Daphnia pulex: one gene and its partners. The protein of the gene in region 2 purifies or fractionates together with the protein of the main gene of each other region. This does not show direct contact. Links are inferred from orthologs where the notes say so. Each region holds a gene or a part of one and is shown on either strand. Other genes may lie near its edges. The genes, in order: COP9 signalosome complex subunit 5-like; thioredoxin-2-like; apoptosis-inducing factor 1, mitochondrial-like.

Evidence for each region.
Region 1: the proteins of thioredoxin-2-like (region 2) and COP9 signalosome complex subunit 5-like purify together in Homo sapiens (affinity purification with western blotting; 3 studies listed by BioGRID and IntAct, with this or other methods). This does not show direct contact. The link is inferred for Daphnia pulex from reciprocal best matches to the Homo sapiens genes TXN and COPS5.
Region 3: the proteins of thioredoxin-2-like (region 2) and apoptosis-inducing factor 1, mitochondrial-like purify together in Homo sapiens (affinity purification with mass spectrometry; 3 studies listed by BioGRID and IntAct, with this or other methods). This does not show direct contact. The link is inferred for Daphnia pulex from reciprocal best matches to the Homo sapiens genes TXN and AIFM1.

What each region holds. Positions count from the first base shown.
Region 1 is NC_060026.1:5,023,594-5,027,105, forward strand, and holds COP9 signalosome complex subunit 5-like, read right to left. Parts: upstream 1,982-3,512; 5' UTR 1,914-1,981; coding exon 1,774-1,913; intron 1,714-1,773; coding exon 1,479-1,713; intron 1,421-1,478; coding exon 1,226-1,420; intron 1,166-1,225; coding exon 968-1,165; intron 904-967; coding exon 646-903; 3' UTR 586-645; downstream 1-585. Other genes in the region: transmembrane protein 65-like, read left to right, coding at 1-250. UniProt on the Homo sapiens protein: Probable protease subunit of the COP9 signalosome complex (CSN), a complex involved in various cellular and developmental processes.
Region 2 is NC_060019.1:1,507,918-1,511,155, forward strand, and holds thioredoxin-2-like, read right to left. Parts: upstream 1,871-3,238; 5' UTR 1,752-1,870; coding exon 1,728-1,751; intron 1,546-1,727; coding exon 1,441-1,545; intron 1,374-1,440; coding exon 1,248-1,373; exon of another isoform or gene 1,191-1,247; coding exon 1,128-1,190; 3' UTR 572-1,127; downstream 1-571. Other genes in the region: E3 ubiquitin-protein ligase rnf8-B-like, read right to left, coding at 1-47. UniProt on the Homo sapiens protein: Participates in various redox reactions through the reversible oxidation of its active center dithiol to a disulfide and catalyzes dithiol-disulfide exchange reactions.
Region 3 is NC_060023.1:11,493,237-11,497,684, reverse strand, and holds the start of apoptosis-inducing factor 1, mitochondrial-like, read right to left. Parts: upstream 2,895-4,448; 5' UTR 2,783-2,894; coding exon 2,701-2,782; intron 2,617-2,700; exon of another isoform or gene 2,591-2,616; coding exon 2,406-2,590; intron 2,345-2,405; coding exon 1,930-2,344; intron 1,444-1,929; coding exon 1,310-1,443; intron 1,243-1,309; coding exon 1,112-1,242; intron 1,050-1,111; coding exon 874-1,049; intron 694-873; coding exon 508-693; intron 338-507; coding exon 141-337; intron 77-140; coding exon 1-76. UniProt on the Homo sapiens protein: Functions both as NADH oxidoreductase and as regulator of apoptosis.

The DNA of each region.
Region 1 (3,512 bases), on a different chromosome or scaffold from region 2:
AGGAAATGCAATATCTGATGTTGCTGGAGTAGGATCTGCTCAGTTCGTCGAGTCTTTTTCTCAAAAACTAGGAATTCCTCAACCCGATCTCGAGCCTCGGCAATATGCTTTTCGATCAACTACTTGGGCCATTAATATCGGACGTGCTATTGGTGTTGCTATAGGATGTGTGCTTGGAATGGTACCACTTTTATTTTTACCTACATCTGACAGCAAACGGCATTCAAAGGACCCTTCATCTCATTTGTGATTGGCATGTCCGATATATTATTAGTCTTATAACCTTACAAATACGTGAACCTAAAATAATTATTTAAACTCATAAAAATGACATTTTGCCGCGCAATGGCAATGGATCCTACTGCGACTTGGCAACTTTAATGTTCGATTCTTATTGTTTTGCACATTTTTGAGCATTCCGATGAACTAACGTGGAGATTCTTCACATAACAATTATTTATATTGCCCACAATTGCTGTTCAATCTTGACCCCATTATTAGAGATATAGCCAAAGAATTTTACATGTTCAATACAATATATTCTAACACTTGGTAACTCATTCACAGAAAACACAAACAAAATGGTATGCATAAGCCAGTTTATTATTAAGGATTCTCAGAGGATATTTAGAAAAACGAGATGGTTCACGCAGGCCTTGAACGCACTTGGTTGAACAGACGATCTTTAATTACTTGAGCCAGCAAACCATGAAGAGCTTCAATGGAAGTTTTTGTAGCATCACGAGCTGCTTTAGCTAGCCTATCTTCCGATCTTCTATCCTCAATGCTGGAGCCACTCACACCAACGCCGCTTCCGACTAGAGCCGCCCGTCCTAGAGAGTTTTCAGCTTGCTCAAGTTTTTCCGAAAGGTCCGATACTTGACCTGTTGTATAATCAGCATTCTAATAAAAAGAGATATTAATACTTTTTATAACATGATATAACGCTTTGAATATTTGTTCTTACTGTGGTGAGAGATGAAGAACTCAATGTGCTGACCCAGTACTTATTCCATAATGAGTCTAATAGACGGCGATCCAGAGCTGATTTAAAGTAAGAAACCTCAAGGGCATAGTACTGCTTGCAGTGGACACCAAAATCTTCAACCTTATTGAGTGGGATGGTTTGATACTCACTTGGCTCTTCATTTGGGGGTTTGTAACCCTAAGGAAAAATAAAAAGTAAACTACTCTGTACGCTTGATAGAAAAATATATCTGTTCACCTTAGGGTATGTACGGAAGGCACCAAGACACACCTTGCCAGCTGAAATAGTACGAACAGGATCTACAACAATAGCAACAAAGGGTTCCTGGAAATTTTGGTTAAGCATCTGGGTAGAAACATCAATTCCTGATAGCCAGCATCCATATCCAGGGTGTGAATGGTACCATCCAATGGCATTTTCAAGACGATTAACCTAATACTCATATTCCAATTAGTTACTTAAAAATGTGATCAAGAGCAAATGTACTTGCCTGTTTAGCTGATTCTATGTAAGCAGTCATGTATTCATAAGCCTGTGACTGAGCATTTACTCTGGTTTCTGTGCCTTCAACTGGCAGGGCAAATGCATCCATTACCACCATTGTGTTTGCATCTACTTTGCCCAAAAGCAATCCCATCACTTCTAGATGTCCTCCAGACCGAGCATGAGTAACCATTTTCAACAATGCCAAGGCTGATATACGGATCTCTTTGAAGAAATGAGGGCTAGAACATAAAACGTAAAGTTGTTAACATGACTTGATACAAAATAAAAAATAATATTACTCTTTATCCCATGGTTTAGCAGCCAACATGTCTTGCTGTTGCTTTCTATCATATCGATAAATTTCGTCAACTGAACTAATATTTTCCACATTATTAGCCATGAGCCAATTATTCAGGGCTATGTTAGATTGTGAACTCATCTTGGATGTGGAACACACAACCAATTTTACTTGAAACCTCTTTTTGCAAAAGACACTCTAAAGTCCAAATGGGGAAATTCGAACGAGGTATACCAGTGCTGAATATATCAAATCCAAACGTACAGCCGGAAACTAAATCTCATCGACTGTTGATGTCGTCTACGAGACTACGACCTACGGGTCTTGTTTTGCCTTTGGCATACTGGGAGCTGCTGGGAGAATGAAGAGGTAAAATGCGGGTCGCGGCGGTGGTAGGAACAAAGTAAAACGTAGGATTTCAGCCTCAGGGATGGATTGGACGACTGCGATTGCCTAGTCTGCTACGACTGCTACTTCAGTACTTCTGACTTCTCCTACTCCATTAGTCCATTGTCCATTGCCTCACCACTAAATCCCTATCTACTCTTTTTCCCACGTTTTACTATTTCTTACCGTGGAGTTGCCGATGCCCGATAAACAAATTCAAACTTGTTTCCAAACATGCTTTCGTTTCGAGTGTGGCAAATTAAACATAACCGTAGGAAAATACCTTGGAAATATTCATTATCTAGTTTAAATATTCTTCATAATTATAGAATACATTTTTCAACAAAAAGCCAATGCAAAGAAGAAGTATCTATTTCAAACAAATGTGTTACTATTAATCCGTGTGGTATACAAATGTTATCAAGATCTATCCATCGACAGATATTCGAAAAAGAAAACAACAATTCTGTATCTAAAGAAACGCTGTTAAAAATTCAGCAGCATTTATCAATTCACCATCTTTATGGCAAATCACCAAGTAAACTCCCAGATATTGATTTGAAGCTCCCAACTTTATTAGGAAAAAACATAGCAGAACACTTTGAAAAAATTGCTGAAAAACAATGTGGAAGTTACCGTAATAAATTGTTAGATTTGACATCACATTGCATTCCAGACATCCCTCAAGTCTGGAACTTTGCACCTGGATGGACAAGATACAACCAAAATGGAGAGATGGATCTAGTTCATTTTCCAGAAGAGGATGCATATGTCTTTGATGTGGAAGTCTGTGTGAAAGAGGGCCATTTGCCAACCCTTGCAACTGCAGTTTCAAAAAACTACTGGTACTCATGGTGTAGTAATCAGCTGTTTACTGAAAATAAGGTTTATTTTTATTTTTCTTAATACTTTTTTCACCCTATATCAATGCTTTATTATCCTACTTGACAGGTGCAAAGTTCAATTTTGAAGGATATGGAAAGTATTTATGAATTAAAGGACTTGATCAACTTGGAATCAAAAACGGAACAAGACCGTCTCCCTCTCAAAGATCAAAAAGAGCGTATCGTTATAGGACATAATGTAAGTTATGACCGTTCGCGAATAAAAGAGCAGTATTTCATCGATGGCACCAAAGTTCGATTTTTTGATACGATGGCTTTGCACATAGCGATCAGTGGCATCACGAGTTTTCAAAGAAACATGCTCCTTGCCGCAAAATCTGGTACCCCTATTGATCGTTCTCTGAAAAATCCCCAGTACTGTAATGGCAAGTCAAGAAAAACGGAAGAAATTCTAGAGTGGCAAAATGTCAGCTCATTTAACGGTTTAAATGATGTGCACAAACTTTAT
Region 2 (3,238 bases):
ATTCTGGCTTCGAGTTTCAGTTGACGTTCACGTGTCTGTTTTCCCATCTTGATGCTTGATGTACGTCTTGATCAGTAGCTCGTCGATGTCGAATGAAGTCTCAGTGGCAGAAATGTTCTGCGAACTAAATGTTTTTGGATTAAGTATCGATTGAGATGATCGAATTGGGAATTTTTTTTTGTGCCGATAATATTGGGAAAAGTTACGCAATTTATTGTAGCAATAAAATCGTAATTTATTGTAAATTTTGTCGTTGATTCCGAATTGGCATATCATTAATATTCGGTCGAATAATTTTCGATTATGATTCTAGTTGCAGTTAAACGAAATGGATGGCGCAATAAAAATTCCCATCCTATTTGGTAATTTCCCGCTATAACTAGACAAAGTGTCCTCCAAAACGGAAAAGAGCACTCTAAATTTACATTCCGTTGTGATCGCTGTAGCTAACAGGAAGAAAATGCAGTTGTATCTTGTTATAATTTTTAGGGTTCCCTTTCTGATCGTAGGCTCATTTTTCTATAGGAAATTCTGTAGACCCTCTCGGTGCCTTAATTTTTCCATTACAATGTATTAACTGCCGTCGTAATCAGATCTGATGTAATAAAGATTGCTAGAGAGTCACGTTTTACTCGAAATCCAATTATTATGTTATCGATTGGATATAGCGGCTGTTTCGGCTCTTTGTGTGTGTGTTACTGAGCGATTTAAATCTGACCGTGAAATCCTTATAGTTATCAAGAACCCAACCGTAAAAACTGGATTTCATTACAAGCGAGAGAGGGACGACACACTGATCAATATTAATATAGTTAGTTAAAGCTTTATCGAACGCATTCATCGATTTAGGTTTAGGCAATGTCATTAAATTATTGCTGTTGTTGAAGTCGGGGTTCCCGTTGCTATGGCTTCTTAATGGTATGAAAAACGCTGCAGTTCACATCAATTGGGAAAATGTGAAAATGCTTTTAGTTTATAGTGTAATTTGTATCTAACAATGAAAGAACAATTTTTTTGTCAGCCTGTATTTCCTGTGGTATAATGCAGAAAATCCCATTACACAATTATTTAATATAAAAGAGCATAGTATTCATCTAGCCAATATACAGGCCACATAACTGGGAAATCTATTTATGTTGATCAATCAGTTTTCTAAGCTGGTCTTCATTGGCTCCAGAAAACTCAGCAACCTATAATGAAACGACAGTTAGAAAGCTGTAATTATGAAATTTTTAGAGATGACTCACCTTTACACCATTCTTCAAGTAGAGGAATGTAGGCATGCACGAAATGTTGTACTCAGATGCAACATCTTCACATTCATCCACATCAACTTTAACGAAAACAACATTGGGCATCTCTTTCGACATTGCCTGCAGTAGAATTTGAAAGTTGATGAAACACCTACTTTGAAACAGTTATGAATATTAAGTTGGTGACCTCAATTTTTGGAGCAATCATCTTGCAGGGGCCACACCAAGTGGCATAAAAGTCCACAACAACTAATTTTCCTCCTGCTTCCTTCAACTGGTTATTGAAGTCTTGCTAGAATTTTTCAAAAAGAAAGTATATCAAACACGGAAAAGGAACCGTCCACGAGTTTGTTGTTGGTTTTGTAATTTGGCATAACGCAACAACGATAAAAGGAGGTCAAATTGATGGCGTTTCTCTCCTTTCAAACGATGATGTAACAAAAACCGAGAGCATGAGTCGATTGAAATGTGTACCTTGTCCTTAACTTGATAGACCATGATGATTAATATATCCCAAAGTTTACACGAACAGCAGGAATCGAATGTCACGTGAAGATCCTCGACGAGCTACTTGCAAACGACCGGCTCAAGCGTAAAATGACGAGTCAGAATTTAACGCACAGATCGGACAAGTGTCTTATGTTTGTTGCTAGCGCCACTGGTGGGAAAAATGAGAACATTTAGGCTTGGGTTCTAATTGATTCTTCGGGCCTTTAATAAATCAAGTTTGGTTGGATCTCATAGTCTGCCATCTAGTGGCGAAGCATCAGTCCCCAAGGAAAAGATTCAATTTCACGAGCACTTGAAAACTTATCTTTCACGCGTTGATCATTATTTTTAGTAATCGTTTAATTTTTCATGGTGTCTAAAAGTTTTCTGTAGTAAATTATAGCCAACGAATGGAGTAGTGACCTACCTAGTGAGTAAAAACCTCTAGTACCGCCCCCTTTTCCAACATACATTTTGTTGCTGACGTAAAACGTAAATCGTGAACGATGCACATTAATGGAAGGTCCCCTCATCACAACCCACGGCTTTGATTAAAGAGCCACAGTGATGCGATTAAATAAAAAAATGAATAAAAATGAACCAAAGAATGTCATCAGAAAAACATAGGGGGAGCCCACAATCGCACAATGCCATCTAGCAACCGATAGTCGAAATTAATCAGTCAATGGCGTCGTCGTCACCCGAAGAAAGCATTGTGACTAGTATAGAAAATGCTTGTAATTAATTCTCGCTGATTGCAACAGTATATCGTATTAGGTGTGTACAATCGTGTTGCTGCGTGTGTGTGTGTATACGATGTGGGTGCAAAAGTTACCTCATTAAACGAAGAGGCATCTGAGAGAGAAGCAGAGAAACGAGAAGCCTAGAGAGGAGGGGGTGGAGTCCAGTTGTCCATTGGAGGGGGGTGGCTTGGTGACGTCAACATATTCGTTTCTCCCCGTACTGCTGGTGCTGGTGAAAATTGTCTGTAGAAAGTCCCTCCGTGAATTCGTTGGAGAGAACCCCAAAGGTTCTGACTGGCGAGACTAGGGGGAAACCGTTGGGCTATACAGTGGGCGGAGCTTGGGCAGCAGCAGCAGCAGCCCAGCCAAGGCTTGTGGATGTGTCGCGGTTTTAACTTTTTTCTTACAACCGACTACTCGGAGCTAGTGTAAAGAGAAAAAGGGATATTATTTCGAATGATGGAATTCTCGGGGGCAGGGTCACGTGTGCCGCGCCGCTAAGGTAGTCCTCCATCCGTTTCGCTCATTTTCATCGACTCGATCAGTGTTTTCAACGTGTTTTAATTAAGTTTTTTAACCAACCCCACCGTCTAAACAACGAGCCTTGACTCTGTGTGTGTGTGTGCTCATTCCCTATACCCTTGCCACATCAATGGCTGTTGTGTTGTGTGTGTACGTGTTTGCCAGCGTGGGCACCTACGCCATTGCTCTCGATTCGGCTGCTCCTCCGTTAATAATAGTAGAAAGAAAATC
Region 3 (4,448 bases), on a different chromosome or scaffold from region 2:
TTTCCAAACCAGAAGCGACGGCCAAATCCGTGTTTGCGTCCAAACCAACAGCAACGACAACATGGTCAGTTTTAATCTGATGAAATAATTGTTAGATTTTAGTTGACATCGCTAAGACATGTATTAAAATAAATGTTTACCTTTTGACCATCGTTTAAGGTCAATACGACCTTGTTGTCTTCCAAGCTTGCACCCTCAACAATAGCTTTGGGCATAACCTGAACACCTTCCGCTTTCACCTTCTCGGTTGTCCATTGGCTCAAATATTTAGGGAGGACTCGGCCCATGTTACCGTCCTCAGGGAAAACTTGAAGCACCTCCAATCCATTACTTTTGGCTAAATGAAAGATATGTTTCCATTATGCAATTTGCCAACAACTTGAATGGATTCAAAACAAGGTTAATACTCAGATACTATCTAGCAGGAAGACAATCATAGTCGTTCAACATTCCATAATTTATAATCACAGTGACTAAAATGATTTTATGAATGGTTCAATTATTTACCTCTTCTGCCAAGAGCACAGGCAAGTTCACTGCCAAGGAATCCACCACCGATAATGGTGATGGACTTGACCTGGCGGGAGATGGAGTCGAGTCGCTGGAAGTCATCGATGTTGCGGAACAAGGTTAAGTGTTCCTGGACATCTTTAGGGGCACTGCTCAGGGATGGCAAAGATTTCGGTTTACCACCTAGCAATAAAACAACGGCCATTTTTAGAGTGATTCGTAAAAACACAAATAAATTGCTGAAATTTAAAAAGGCTCTCAGATACTATCTAGCAGGATAATTATCAAAATTGTTCAACATTCCATAAGGGTGTAATCATTGAGACTTTTAAAGACGAATTTCGTTTAGCATAAAATGTTTACCTGTGGCAATAAGGCACTTGTCGTATGTGATGGTACGACCATCGTCAAGTTCGGCTTTCCGACCAACAATGTCAAGTTTAACGACGCGGTGTCCACGTACAACTGCAACGCCGCCATTATCTTTGCTGTTCAATTCGACGGGATTGCAATAGAATTCGTCTTGTTCGAAAAAGAGACTGGGAAGGAAAATAAGTCATTAGTACATGTTCCACATAGTTGTAATTAACATTGGGCTCACCTTCGCTCTTTGCCGTTCCACTGTTTAAATCGAAGTTTATTTGAAACTTCGGGGTCTTCACTGAACCACAATTCTTTCGACAGAGGTGGTCTCATGTAGGGCAAGTGATTTTCTTCACCGATGACTAAAACCTGTAATGGGTACAACACAAATATTTTTACTATGCATGTAAACAAAACCAATAAAAATTTTTTTTACCTTTGCTTTCGGGTCACGTGATTTGATGGCACGGAAAGCGGCAAACGATGAAGTACCAGCTCCAATCAATAGATAAGGAACGTGCACGGGAAAATCACCGGCGACTGCAACGGCTGCTGCTGCAGCTGGAACTACTGTTAAAAAAAAAGGAAAAAAATAAAATTAAGAACTTTTCTACATTAAGAAAATTTTTCTACAGCTAAAAGAAGGGATTTCTTGATCAAACACTCAGCTTCCCTCGAAATTGTATTGCTTCTAATCGGCCAACGTACAATAAGTCTTCCACCAACCATTCATTTCATCAAATATTTCACAACCTACACTTTGAATCGAAATTTAGCCAGTGTTGCGGCAAATTACAAACAATAAACTCTGAAGGTTAAAATAAATTTTTGGGCACTGGGCTAAAATTGGCGATATTCCAAAATAAGACTATTTTGTTAATGGACTGAATAGATGTGGCAGTTTTGATACAATTCATCTATTCTAGCGAATGAGTCTAAATTAATAACTAACTTATGATTGTGATTCTGTGACTGATGAAGAACCATCAGAAACAGTTTCAGCAACAACTTCTACAGTCAAGGCAACACTCACTGTAGGATCAGATTGAACTTCACCTTCTGATTGATCAGAGGGCCCTGATTCATTTCCACTAGGAGCTGGGACAGCTTCTACACTTTCAGGTACAGATGCTGGAGCAACTTCTTCAACGATGACGGAAGCAACTTCAGCCACAGGGACAGCCTCTTCTACAACTGCAACTGGAACAACCTCTTCTACAATTGCAACTGGAGCAGCTTCTTCCACAACTGCAACTGGAGCAGCTTCTTCCACAACTGCAACTGGAACAACCTCTTCAACAATTTCCACTGAAGCAACAACTTCTGGTTCAGAAATAGGCTCTTCTACAATTGTAGCAGCGGCTGCTGCAGCTTCTGCTGCCTGCTTGCGAACCTGTTCGTGACTCAATACATTGACTTTGGTATTCAATTCGGGGCCAAGGTTAAGGTAGAATGAACCTGTTTGGTATCCCTGTGTGTGTAGAAAATGCTGTTAGCGATGCTGTAACATTTTACATAAATATTTAATTTACCACAAAAACTGTGAAAGCCGTGAAACCCAAACCTGCAGCCAAGTGCATGTTGTACTTTGCTTGTACTCGGGAATGTTCTGAAGCCCAAGAACCCTTAGGTGTAGGCATTTCGTTCAACGTGGCCGGTTTAATTGCTGGCGGGTTGTAGCCATGATCTGAGCCGAATCTCTTAGTTGTACTTTCGCCTAATTAATACACATCGTATCAGTTCCTAAACTTACAGACACGTTGCTATAGTTTCTTGAAACTGGCAATTCATATAAACTACACATAAATGAATGAAATTATATCTTACCGACAAATCGTTGTCTGCCATGACCAAGATTTGACTTAATGGTGGTTGAGCATTGAGAAACCAATTGCCGGCATCTGTACATTTTCGAGCCGATTTGTAAACGAAAATTTCGAGATTGAGACCGGTCACGTCCTCGAAAATGGCCAAGATGGAGAAAAAGGAGGAGGAGAAAGGACTCTGGAGCACGTGATCAGAGAACGTTGCCAATTTCGAAACACACTTCTTTTGTGATAAATAATGAATAAGAATATGAAAAAGAGCGATAATTTAATGATTAAAAATTTTTTAAAATGTTAACCAGATAGAAAAAAAGTTTTTCTCATTATTTGCTTTAAAGAAAGAACAAGCTTTACGCCACCTGTGGCGATTATTTGCACTATGATTCAAACAAATATTTCTGAATTCGTTAAGTTTAAAAAAGGATTACTACTTTACTAGGCTATTTTAACTTTTGCCAATTAATTGTTTTCTGTTGCAAATGTCATTCGTCCCTCAGGCTACGCAACGAGAGCATTCGTTTGTGGTTTAATGGATAGTCGCCCAATAATGTTCAAAGAAAATAAACGTCCCCTTCCAAGACCAGGAAATTTAAATATCCTTTTGGCTAAATGATCTTGAAACTTAATAAGTTGTTGCCGGCCATTGTCGTCAAATTTGTTTAGCTCCGTTTCTCCCTGTCGCACGCAAATAATGAACGACGCACTTTTTTCTTCCTTCCCGATAGATCTTTGGTCCTTTAATACGGGTTTTACCTCGCATCCTTTTGAAATCTGTTGTTTATTTATACAGGCAAGAAATGTCTCTATACAGCGACCGCAGTGAACCCTACATTCAAAGTCAAGGTAACTGTACGCTATATAAAGAGCGGGATAAAGGAATTATTTACGGCGAATTTCCTTATTCATTTTTCTAACAAGAAAAATCACCACGCACTGATGAACAAACTTAGCATTTTAAACCTAGAAATGTCCAGTCAGGTGCGTACATATTTTAAATATTTGTTGCACTCCTGCGTGTGCTGTTTAGCTCAATTCTTCTTCTACTTAACATGCAGCACTCCTGTCTAGCAGCGTTATTAATGTACCTTTTTTTATTCGGTTTGATTTCTATGGCGAACAAAATAGAAATATTAGTCATCTGCCTGTGGAAAACTCACCTCGCTGGCTTTGTGTCCGTTTGAACGTCATTTTTTGTGACGACTTAATCATTCGTCACAAATTGCGACTCACAATTTTTCAAAGGTACAGGGTCGCTAATAACAGGTTTTGTCGGCGGTTCTAAAAGATCAGTGGTCTGTGGGATTGCCTTTTTAGGGTAATCAAATTTGGTGCGTACCTTCGTCACGGTCATGCGACTCAAACCGGAACAATTACTCTTGAATGATGGCACCAACCCATCACCATGATTACACAGCAGTAAATTTAAGCTGACCAATAATGGTGTAATAAAAGTCAAACAAATTTAATTTGACGCTATTCATTTTCAATACAAAATCTAAATTCATGTCCAGCAGTTTTGCGACATTTTTCAATGTTCCCGCGTGAGTTTGACGTAAACAATTAATATTAAACGGTTTATTCTATGCTCGCGGGAAAACTCGTGTGTAGACTTATCGCCTTGAGGAAATCTGATGAGCACAGCAGCTTCCTTTTCCATGATTGAGCTAATGTGATGATGCTTATTCATTCCAAACGAATATGTCATTCTGAAAGAAAAAAAGGACGATGTACATATACCGTCGGTACAGG